2 linked regions of the Neodiprion lecontei genome follow. Each later gene encodes a partner of the first gene's protein in a complex. Links are inferred from orthologs where the notes say so. Each region holds a gene or a part of one and is shown on either strand. Other genes may lie near its edges. The genes, in order: DNA topoisomerase 2-binding protein 1-B and Fanconi anemia group J protein.

Evidence for each region.
Region 2: the proteins of DNA topoisomerase 2-binding protein 1-B (region 1) and Fanconi anemia group J protein are in contact, whole or in part, in a crystal structure (PDB 3AL3), measured with the Homo sapiens proteins. The link is inferred for Neodiprion lecontei from reciprocal best matches to the Homo sapiens genes TOPBP1 and BRIP1. Residues at the interface, in NP_008958.2 of Homo sapiens: Leu1272, Ser1273, Ser1274, Leu1275, Asn1276, Pro1277, Arg1280, Gln1298, His1311, Leu1313, Arg1314, Asn1315, Glu1316, Lys1317, Leu1319, Gln1366, Arg1407, Gly1410, Phe1411, Leu1414, Thr1466, Glu1467, Ile1469, Ala1470; in NP_114432.2 of Homo sapiens: Ser1129, Tyr1131, Phe1132, Thr1133, Pro1134, Glu1135, Leu1136, Tyr1137, Asp1138.

Annotation. Positions count from the first base shown.
Region 1 is NC_060264.1:28,710,381-28,715,280, reverse strand, and holds the start of DNA topoisomerase 2-binding protein 1-B, read left to right. Parts: upstream 1-1,705; 5' UTR 1,706-2,184; intron 2,185-2,381; 5' UTR 2,382-2,394; coding exon 2,395-2,517; intron 2,518-2,738; coding exon 2,739-2,878; intron 2,879-3,117; coding exon 3,118-3,253; intron 3,254-3,601; coding exon 3,602-3,709; intron 3,710-3,800; coding exon 3,801-4,004; intron 4,005-4,677; coding exon 4,678-4,894; intron 4,895-4,900. Other genes in the region: uncharacterized protein LOC124294485, read right to left, coding at 1-728. UniProt on the Homo sapiens protein: Scaffold protein that acts as a key protein-protein adapter in DNA replication and DNA repair. Composed of multiple BRCT domains, which specifically recognize and bind phosphorylated proteins, bringing proteins together into functional combinations.
Region 2 is NC_060262.1:26,772,569-26,777,870, reverse strand, and holds the start of Fanconi anemia group J protein, read left to right. Parts: upstream 1-2,045; 5' UTR 2,046-2,168; coding exon 2,169-2,260; intron 2,261-5,174; coding exon 5,175-5,302. UniProt on the Homo sapiens protein: DNA-dependent ATPase and 5'-3' DNA helicase required for the maintenance of chromosomal stability. Acts late in the Fanconi anemia pathway, after FANCD2 ubiquitination.

The sequences.
Region 1 (4,900 bases):
TTGTTGCTTAGAAATTCATTCATATCCAGCCCCTGACATAGGTCCAATTGTTTAGAGGTCAGTTCTTGTGCAGGAGCCCAACCCAAAAGGTTTTTAGTTGGATTACAAGATTTTACACGAGAATCTATTACATCCGGACGAAGATCATCAGGTAAATCCCAAAATAAATTTTCATTACAAACATTTTCTGTGTACTTAATATCAGCCTGTATGCGCAGAGCCGCAATTCCAGGGGCTGGAAAAGCTTCATAAGAGTGATGTGTATTGGCGTTTATTTTTCCAAATGTGTATTTGACTCCACCGATGGATTCATGGGTTGGTAATACTGGCAACTGAAACTGTCTCTCGCAATTGTCAACATCACGAAAATTTCCAATTCCCTTCAAATATGTTAGCAATGGCTTGGGTACGTGCCATGATTCGTTGTTTAGCTTGTACATTTCAGCCAGAAACTGATGTGATGTCCTCTGCATCGAATTAGGAAGAACCGCTGCAAACCGCATCCACAAATGAATGACAGCATAATATTGAAAAACTGATTCTGAGAAATTGGCAGAAAATTCTGGGTTTTCAGCGCACAGTGCAGCGTAAACGCGAGAGCACAACGATATGTAGCTGTCGGTTGTTATCGTAAAATATCGTGCTGTCTTCATTTCCGTTAACTTGATCTCAATCTCCGGAGTCTCAAAATCGAGAGGATCTTCCAATTGATCGTCCGCAGATGCCATGTTCCTTTGTCTTCGTCAGTGACTTTGTGGCTATTTCTTCAATGCTGGTGCTGTTTCTAGTACTTTCACTGATTTTTTTCTAATTGAAATAAACAATGTCACAATATTAAAAGAACAATCACTACTTTTAAATAGTTATTTCGCTATTCTACCACCTTCTTGTAGGACAGAAAATATCGTTTACGAGTACTACGATAAGAACTAAGCGTGGAATGAGCAAAGACGCGGGCTCACAATTGGCCAGGCTTCTCGTTTCCCTCCTATACCGCCACTCTGCAATGATGTGATCAAGTGTCGTAAGACTGATGGGATTCCCCCGGTTTTTTCCACGGCGCGAGAAGTTGTGTATTCCCCATAGACTTATCAAGATTTTCAGTCACGCCTTAACACAAAGCGATATCATTAGTTAAATTCGACTAATTCATTGCTTTATGCGTTGAGTAAAGCTGTTAAAGCAGTTACGTTAAAAGGATTTTGAGTGCTTGCGAATTGCGTGTTAACTTTCAGCGGTAAAAAATCGACCTGATCGCTAATATGGCTCCTTATGGCCCCAGGCACACTTACCCGCCGAGTACTGCTCACAGAAATTTGCTAACAATCCTTTTAGAAACGATTGTAAACGTTTCTAGACTAAGTATGAAAGGGGTAAGCGTCTTTTAATTTTTTAGCCAACGCTTCCTATGAGACTTAGAAAATTGTTCCGATTCCGTTCTGAAATCTAATACCGAGAGCGTTCTGGAAGTATGGTTTTCCTAGGACACTTTTCCCATTTTCCATGGGTGCGTTCCGAAATTAGCTCCCAGTGCTGTCAACAATCTTTTATCTCATTTGTGCTGTCGAGTTCAGGCACTGATCTGTGTTATATAGAGATCAGTGACCACGACCAAAAATTATTACAAAATCAAAAAACATTAGTCACGCGCATGCGTATTGCGACTCCATTTTACATTATCCATTTCACGAATGAAAATACTCTCCTGACACAACCGTCGTGAAACATCGTAAAATATCGTAAAGCAGCGACCGGGACGCGGGAAATGCCGTATACTAGTTATACCAATTGGCAGTTAGTTTATCCTGGTTTTTTAATTATTCACCGGGTTGGCACAGAGATTGTCATTATGAAATGACTTGACTTGACGGCAGATCAAGAATATAGATGTTTGTCTATTATGATTTAGCCATCGCTCTACATCACAATAATTGTTATTTATCATATTTTTATCTGGAGTTTGAGAATCGTTGTAGTTTTAGGAATATAACCTATTCTGCAGCCTTTTCTACGTTCAAAATTACAAACGCCGGACCATTTTCAATTCGAGTTATCATAAGTTTAATACACGAGAACTGGAACTTGGGTAATTTTTTCAATACATCAAAGACACAAGTATAAGTTTCCAGTAACTTGTCAATAATAATTTATGACTTACAAGTACTCGGATCTAAAATTTTAAAGGTAAGAACTCTTTGTTTTTCAAATCTTTTGTAACACATTTCTTACCTTCAATTCCACTTTCAGTAATAAGGCATGACACTCTGTATTTTATGGTCAACCCATGTTCAGTACAAAGTAATTATTGTCAATGGTAGATTTAACTATATGCCAATTTAGAGCAGAAATTCAATTTAGATCAAATTCTCATTACATTACAGTTGATTTGGATTTATGAAATACAGAATGACCAGCGAAGGAAGTCAGGTGGACTCCGATTTGAACATATATTTTGTCATAACGAGAGATCAGAAAGATGAGAACGATTGCTCAAGCGACATGTGGCATGCATTTAATGTAAGTATATCTGTTTAACCATACTAAAAATTTCATGGGTATTTGCTGACATTCAACCATAAATCACCTACTGCAGTTCAATGCAATTTGTGATTCTGAAGATTTAATTTTCTGCAAATAGTGCAAATAATTGATTTCACAGGATAAACTACAAAGTATAATCATATGCACGGTAAAATTTTATGCTCCAAGTTTTTTCTGATCACACTTTTATTTTATAGAGCTGCGACGAACACGAATTATCGCCAAAATGGATTAAAGAGAATTTATGCGACAACTTAGCACCAGGAAAGAAGGACGTGTTTGTATTGGAAGAATTTGAGGGGTCAACGTTCGCACATTTGAAAAAATTTAAATGCTCGTAAGAATTTAATACAGCTGTTGATTGTAGCAACATTTACAGTATTCATACCATTTACATTTCTAATCAGAAAATTGAATCTGCATGTCATGAATTTCTTACATTATACAATATTTCCTTCAAACAAACTCATTTCACTTATCATAATAAATCAGCACATAAATATCAAAGCTCGATGAAAACTCGGTTGAAAAATTACGTAAGCTGCTAGTAACAACTGATGGTTCATTATGTTTTAGCAGAATAGTTGGACCGCGATGTTTACTGAGCTGTTTCATGACCGGGGAACCAATTCCCGAAGGAACCAGCCCAGTATTCACAACTGCAATGAGAGGCCTGGTTGTCAGTGTGTCTGGTCTCACTTCAGAGGCAAAAGTACATATTATCTACGAATTATTTTCAAATTATAGAGGCAATTGCAAGTTGGTATGCAAACAACTGTGATGCTTGTATGATACTATCCTGTTCCGATGAAATAGCAATTGTTATATTGCGATCATTTAAAAATTACAAGGGTTCTTTATTGTATTGCCTTCAGTGAAAATTATTGTTCAAGTTTTATTGATCGTTTTGTGTTTTATAGAAAAACAGATAATTTTTTGCGTAAATATTGTCTTCTGTGTGCTCCTAAGCAAACAAAGACATTTAAACATATATATACTCACAGTTGACAAAAGGTAATTCAATCATCGATTATTCTGAGTCTGATTTTTTTGTTTTCAGGAAAATATAGGAAGGAAGGTAGAATACATGGGGGGTGTTTATTCGCGACAATTGCGAAACAGTGTCACACATTTGATTGCAAATTTTGTGATGTCTGAGAAGTACGAGGTCTGTATATTTATATATGGCTAAAAACATTAACAACGACTCTTACAAACACGAATTGTAGCAATTTTCGATATCATTTATACTTTTCTAGAAAGCTGTTGAACAAAAAATACCAGTCATGACTGAGAATTGGGTAACAGCAGTATGGGAAGCAAGTCTTGTGGAAAATATACGGGCTACGAGCAGTAGATTTGACGAATACAAGTGCCCTGTCTTCATGAATCTAGTTGTTACCTCAACCAATTTATCTAAGCGAAAAAAAGAGATTAAACAATTGATCACTGATAATGGTGGGGTAAGTATTAACATCCAATGTGTGATGTTTCTCATTGCCCAGAGCTTTGAGCGATCTACTTTTTCAACTATTATTTTTTTTTTTCCTCATCATTGACTATTTTCTACTATCTTCTCGAAAAGTTTACTTTATTAACTTTTTTGGATCCCGTTATTGAAATAAGTAATGGAATCTTAATTTTGAATGCGCTAACCAATGGTGAATCAGACTTATTCAAAAATTACATACAGAGTGTACATATCCTTAGTTTTCGGTTAGATAATGGAAACGCAAGGAAACTAGGGAAACTGTACCCAGTATGCAATTTTGCTGTAAGTTGAATTTGGTTATAAACAGAAGTTTGACTTGTGACAAATATTACATATATAGTTCATTTAATACAAAGTATATTTATGTGCATGTTGATGTTTAGTCCCATTTTAATTCTGTCCATTTTTTCAATGAGACAAAAAGCTAATATTTTACATAAATAATTTAAAACAGTTTTCAACTGCGTTTATTAATTTAGTGTGTATGATTTGTAGTCTAGAGATGTACTATTGGCATGAATTACTGCTTACGTTTACTAACTGCTTTCTATTACTTTGCTTTTTCTCTGTAACATTGACACTGGAAGTCTTTTATTGCCTGTAAATTAAATTTAATCATAACTGAGTATCATGTTAATTTTCAGATATTTATGGGAGCTTTAGATGGTGCCAAAGTAAAGATCGTTGTAGCCCCAGAAGATTCAGTGCTCAGTGAAAAGCTTAAGTATGCATTGCAAAATAACATTGCCTGCGTTACACCCCAATGGGTTCATCACAGTGTGAAGCACGGTTATGCCCTGCCGTTCTCAGACTACTTAGTAAAAACTACAAAAAAATGTTCAACGCCTGAGAAATCTAATGGTCTGT
Region 2 (5,302 bases), on another chromosome or scaffold:
AGTGTTGACAGTCGATTAACAAATCGCGTACCGAAATCGTTGGTATTATATTTGGACGATGATTGGGTAGGGAGGAATGAAGTGAGAATTGGGTGGCCGGATGGTTCGCCGTTGAAAAGAAGAAGAGAATAATTTGACAAACTGAATCATGTGGACCATAAACTCGGTGCATGTGATTTATAATCGAGCACTTTCTTCCAGGAGGGTGTAACACGAGCAATTTGACGCATTTCACAATAATGAAACCGAACCCCCTATTATACCCTAAACACAATCGTAGACTGGATACATTTTATGGGATAGAACGCCCGGCCCGCAGTCTATAGTTCGTACTTGTAATCCATGGCGATAGATGTACATAGGCGTATATCTATAGAAGGATATACATAACTTACGCCCCGTTACCTAAATTTAAAGATTGTTTTGCCCCTTGAATACAAAGTGTCATTGTACAGTATCGAAAACATCGAGCACTTCGTGGAGAAACTTCGAATTACACTGCGTTATACAACAGGCATATATACATATATTATGATATTCATATTACGTATGAATATTACGTTTGTGCTTCGGTAATATTCCAGTAAAGACGTAATACGGAGAATTTCAACAATTATTGCCACAACCCTTTGGAAACACAATTTCTTGTCGTCCGAATGGTTTTTCTTCTTGCTGATGTCATACTACAGATTTTTACATCCCCGAATTTAGGATATTTCAGGTTTTGAAATTCTGCTCTTTCGAATTTAGACGTAATACAAGAAAAATATAAATCTTTCTAATGTCTGGAAAAAACTTCAATTTTGAAATAGTTAATGTATTTTTATTTAAAAGTCAGATTTTGTTATTAACAGAATTTTAGAATCATATATCTGTATCTGAAATGAACGAAAGGTGTGTCAATTCTTATAAACAACTATCGCTTCTACACGATCTTATTTTGCTTTTAAGGGAGGTTCAAAACCATCTGTATAATACCTGTACATATTTATTTTTAGCCGATTCTAAAACATTTTTGTGCACAAAAATGATGTTGACGTTGCAATATTGCAAGTATTAAATTTTACAACTATAATTTGAAATTAAATTGTCTCTTTTTGCAGAGCTATTATACATATAATAAATATTATATAGTTGATCTCACACGTATTAAAGTAAAAAAAGCGAACAATGTTGTGAGATGACTCGCATTTAATAATTCTATTAAACGTAATATTAGCTTGGGAATCTTGAATGAAAAAATCTATTTTCAATTTAAACTTGAGTATACGATTGAAGCCTAGAATGGATCTATTAACGTAATCGTGAAACATATTTTCTGGCACGAGAATTCGATATTTTGATTTTTTCTTTTAAATCCGTATTAGATTATACTCAGATCATGTTAATCCTCGAAAAAATGTCGTACCACCGCGGTAGCTTCATTCGATGAAATATTAGAATCCAGTGATACCTATTATTTTCGAGAATTGTTTCTCAGTTCATAAAATATATAAACACATGAATGATGTAATAAATTCCTTTATTATTTTTAAACAAAAATTCCAAGTTTCAACTTAACGACGAATGCTATTAGATTCGTAATCCATCAAGGCATGTCTTGCGATTAATTCATAGGTTAAAAATAGGTTCAATTGAATCGTCCTATCGCCCCTAAATTTTGAGTTATATATGCGGGTAATAACACAAAAAAGAAATCACGAAAAACACTTGTCCGGTGGATTAGATCACATCTCGATATATCGTTGCAAATACTGAACCCGAATCCGTAGTCAGAATCGCTCCGTCACCCCAAATACTTCGGTGTTCAAATTATAGTGGAATACCCCATACACGACTCAAAATCTGTGTGTAACGGAACAATTCTGACCCCAGATTCGTATTCCTCATGTTTACACAAGTACGATCGTCTAGTCCGCCGAACAAGTCGCGTTATTCGCGTGCCTGTGCTACTCTCTTTCCGTTGCGTGGCGTTCGAAATTCGAAACTTGTCGTGTGTCCCGCGCCGAGTGTCGAGGAATCGATTCTCCCGAACGACGGTCGAACGTCGAAGCGTCGAGTGCCGAGCGAAAGTCGGCCCCGCTAAGCTCCGGCTATTTGTGTCCTCTAACCTCAATGTTTACCTTCGGCGTTCGCCGACAAACCAGCAGATAGGTCATCACCGGGCGATGATCATCGTTCTGGCAGCGATATTCATCATCGTCTGTGTCTACTCAGGATCCCTCGCCTTCGTAAGACGGCGCCTCGATCCTCCGTCACCGTGAGTATTCGCTAAAATCTTGACGTTTGAGGTTAGATTCGCACCCCGTATCGCTCCCCCCTATCTTATCTGTGTATATTATCGCTCCATCTCTCATCGTCATCGTCGCCACTCGTGGCCTTACGGCGAGCTTGCTGCTCGCATTATCAGCCCGTGTCACTCCGTTCCTCTCGTTTGGCCTTATCCGCGTGCATCAGTCAACGACACATCGAGTCGCGTGGTCGCGCGGAGTCAGAGAGACGCATGCGTAGCTTTATTTTGCTTCATATGTGTACGCCACGGATTTCTCCTGTACACGAGGTCGTGGCGTGTGTCATGGCAACGTCCACCTATTGGTGCTTACGTTTAACCGCGCATTCGTGGAACATTTTTGAACGAGGGCGGAGTAACGCTTGAAATCGTTAATTAAAATTCATTGTGTATTTGCTGTTTTGCATTCGCCATTTAGATCAGATTTGTACGTGCATTTTCAATTTTTTTTTATTCGATATTGTGTAAGATTTAGGTACTGCATTCAGCGTCGGTCACGTGTCGAATATCTCTGTTCAAATAGATCGTACAATTTTATAAAAATTTTCGAAAAAGAACGATTCCCTCTGATTCGACTAAATTATGTTGGAATTGCAAAATCTTCGTTTAATGTAACGAGCTCTGAAACTGTAATGTAATGTTTGCTTGTATCCTATCTGGAGCGTAGCGTAAGAAATTTCATGCACATACCACCGACAGTATTTGTTAAGCGCTGAATTAAATATGAATAATTTGAAAGCCGCAGAGTCCTGGTTGGTTAGTAGTAGAAAAACCCTGATAATAATATTTACAGTATACAATACCATTCGACATTTGATAATTCATTTCGCATACCTATTTTACAAATTTCATTTTAAGCTAGAATTGAAGTAAACATATCTATTTGTCCGTTTAAACGACATTTTTAGAAGCATTTTACGCTTCAATTTACCAATTATGAGTAATTAAATGTTATGTTATGGTCGATTTCCAGTCCAACGCATCGTTAGAATTGTTGACAATATTTTTCCTGTATTCATTCACCGTGAAATTACACACAGTTATTGAGGAGAAACCAAAATAGAATGATTTGAAAAATTAAAAAAGTCGTTAACGCGTAATTCAATCATTCAAAGAAAAAAAGAAAGGAAAAAAAAATAAGGTTGGAGTCAGTAAGGTTCACTTGAAAGAATATATTCAAATTGTAATATTTATTTAATATTTCGCTATTTTAGAGTAATTAATTCAGGAGATGTGTTTTCAAAATAGAATTATGCAATCTTTTATTACGGTTTTTGTAGTCAGCTGATACTTTTCTGATGGAATGACAATTTTTCCTAAAAATAAATTGTGCCATCAACGTTACGAACTTCAATGGCGTCAAAAAAAGGAATTACGAATTAGACTGACTTATGAGAATTATTTTCAAATCATGAAACACCTTCAAAAATATTTTTGATCCAAAAAGACTGTAATTTTGATTTAATATCTCTGACCACCCCTACTTTTTAACTCATTTTATTGAGATAAATTCAAATGCGTTTCTGGATCAAGATGCCGTAATATTTGGATATTTAAACACATTAATTGAGAGGAACAATATTGTTTGAAAAAATTTCAGCGGTCAGTAATTTGAGATGAATCCGGTTTCTCAGTAAATTTTTTTCACGCAGCGAAAGAGCGTTTTTGGGTGAAAAATACAGACTTTGTAAAGAATTCGTAGTTGAAAAACGAATAAATTTATTTATAAATGTTAGAAAAATGTGGAAAACAAGTGAGGAATAATACGCGATTCCATTATCACTTCGTGACTACTGGAACGAAATTAGTTGCCGCAATTAGTCGCGTAAGAAGAACAACGAAACGAACTTCCATTGCTTGGGGAATTCCGAAATGAAATTGAACCAACTTCTGACAGGTTAAAGCCCCAGTTTTTCCTTGTCAACCCTTTTTTCACTCCGTATTGCCTCAGATCGACATATGGCAAGCTACTCCGGTGTCAAATGTATCCTACAACTCGAATTCAGCAGTATCGAGCATGTGTGAAAGGGACAACTGCATGCGATGGAATTGCGGTGTAGAAATATAACGATCACTTTATGCACCTATATTCCATCGGAACTTGTCGTCTTGCGAGTGCACAGTGAAATATACGACACGCGGTGCAGTCCATTCAACGACGTTGTAAAGAAAAATGAGCCCGCGACACAGCTGGCAGAGGATGTAGCGTGTCGAGAAATGCCATGTGCAGCGCGAAACGCCGAAACGTTCGTCTCGATTATCGTCGTCTTAGAGTGTCTTCTTGTACATCTTCCTAATTTTTTTCATTTTCCTTACCTCCGCTTCCCGTGTACGTACGCGGCATTTGTCAAGTACTTACCCTAATTCATGTAGAAAAGGCTTTCCGCTGTTATTATAAAGCATCGCTCGTTTTCAGGTGCAGGACTTTTATTGCGACACCACACGAGACATCTTATATATTGTGCACTCTTTTTACTGTACCTATGAATGAAGATTTGAATCCAAGTTGAAGGTGGGAAAGAAATAACCTAGAATTTTATTTATGAAGATACTGCGGAGTTTTGTTCTTGGAGAAAATTTACAGCTTTGAAAATGCTCAATGAATCCGCCGGCGTGCTTGACGCGGAGCTTGCGTCATTAAAAATTTTAGAGTCGAGTCTAAGTTCTGTACTTGCGCACCTGTTACTCGACTTTCTTCCAAAGTTTCCAGAACTCCAGAAGTTTCTACTCCCTCGCGAAACCCTTTTACATATTCTTGTTTGTTTCGATTCCGCTACCTTCGGTACAGAGTTTTTCTTTATCAATTGGTTGGTTGTTGAATGATTTGATTAAAAACGAAGAGTCGTATTCAACGATTCGGTAATTGATAAGAAATCGGTTTCAGGATGGCTGGAAAATTCAATCCACGCATCGCGCAGGATGCCTTAAATATAACGAATGATGAAGACAGTGACTTGTTGACCGAGCAGAGCTCCGCCTCAAATTTGAGCGGCGATGACGATGACGGGGAGA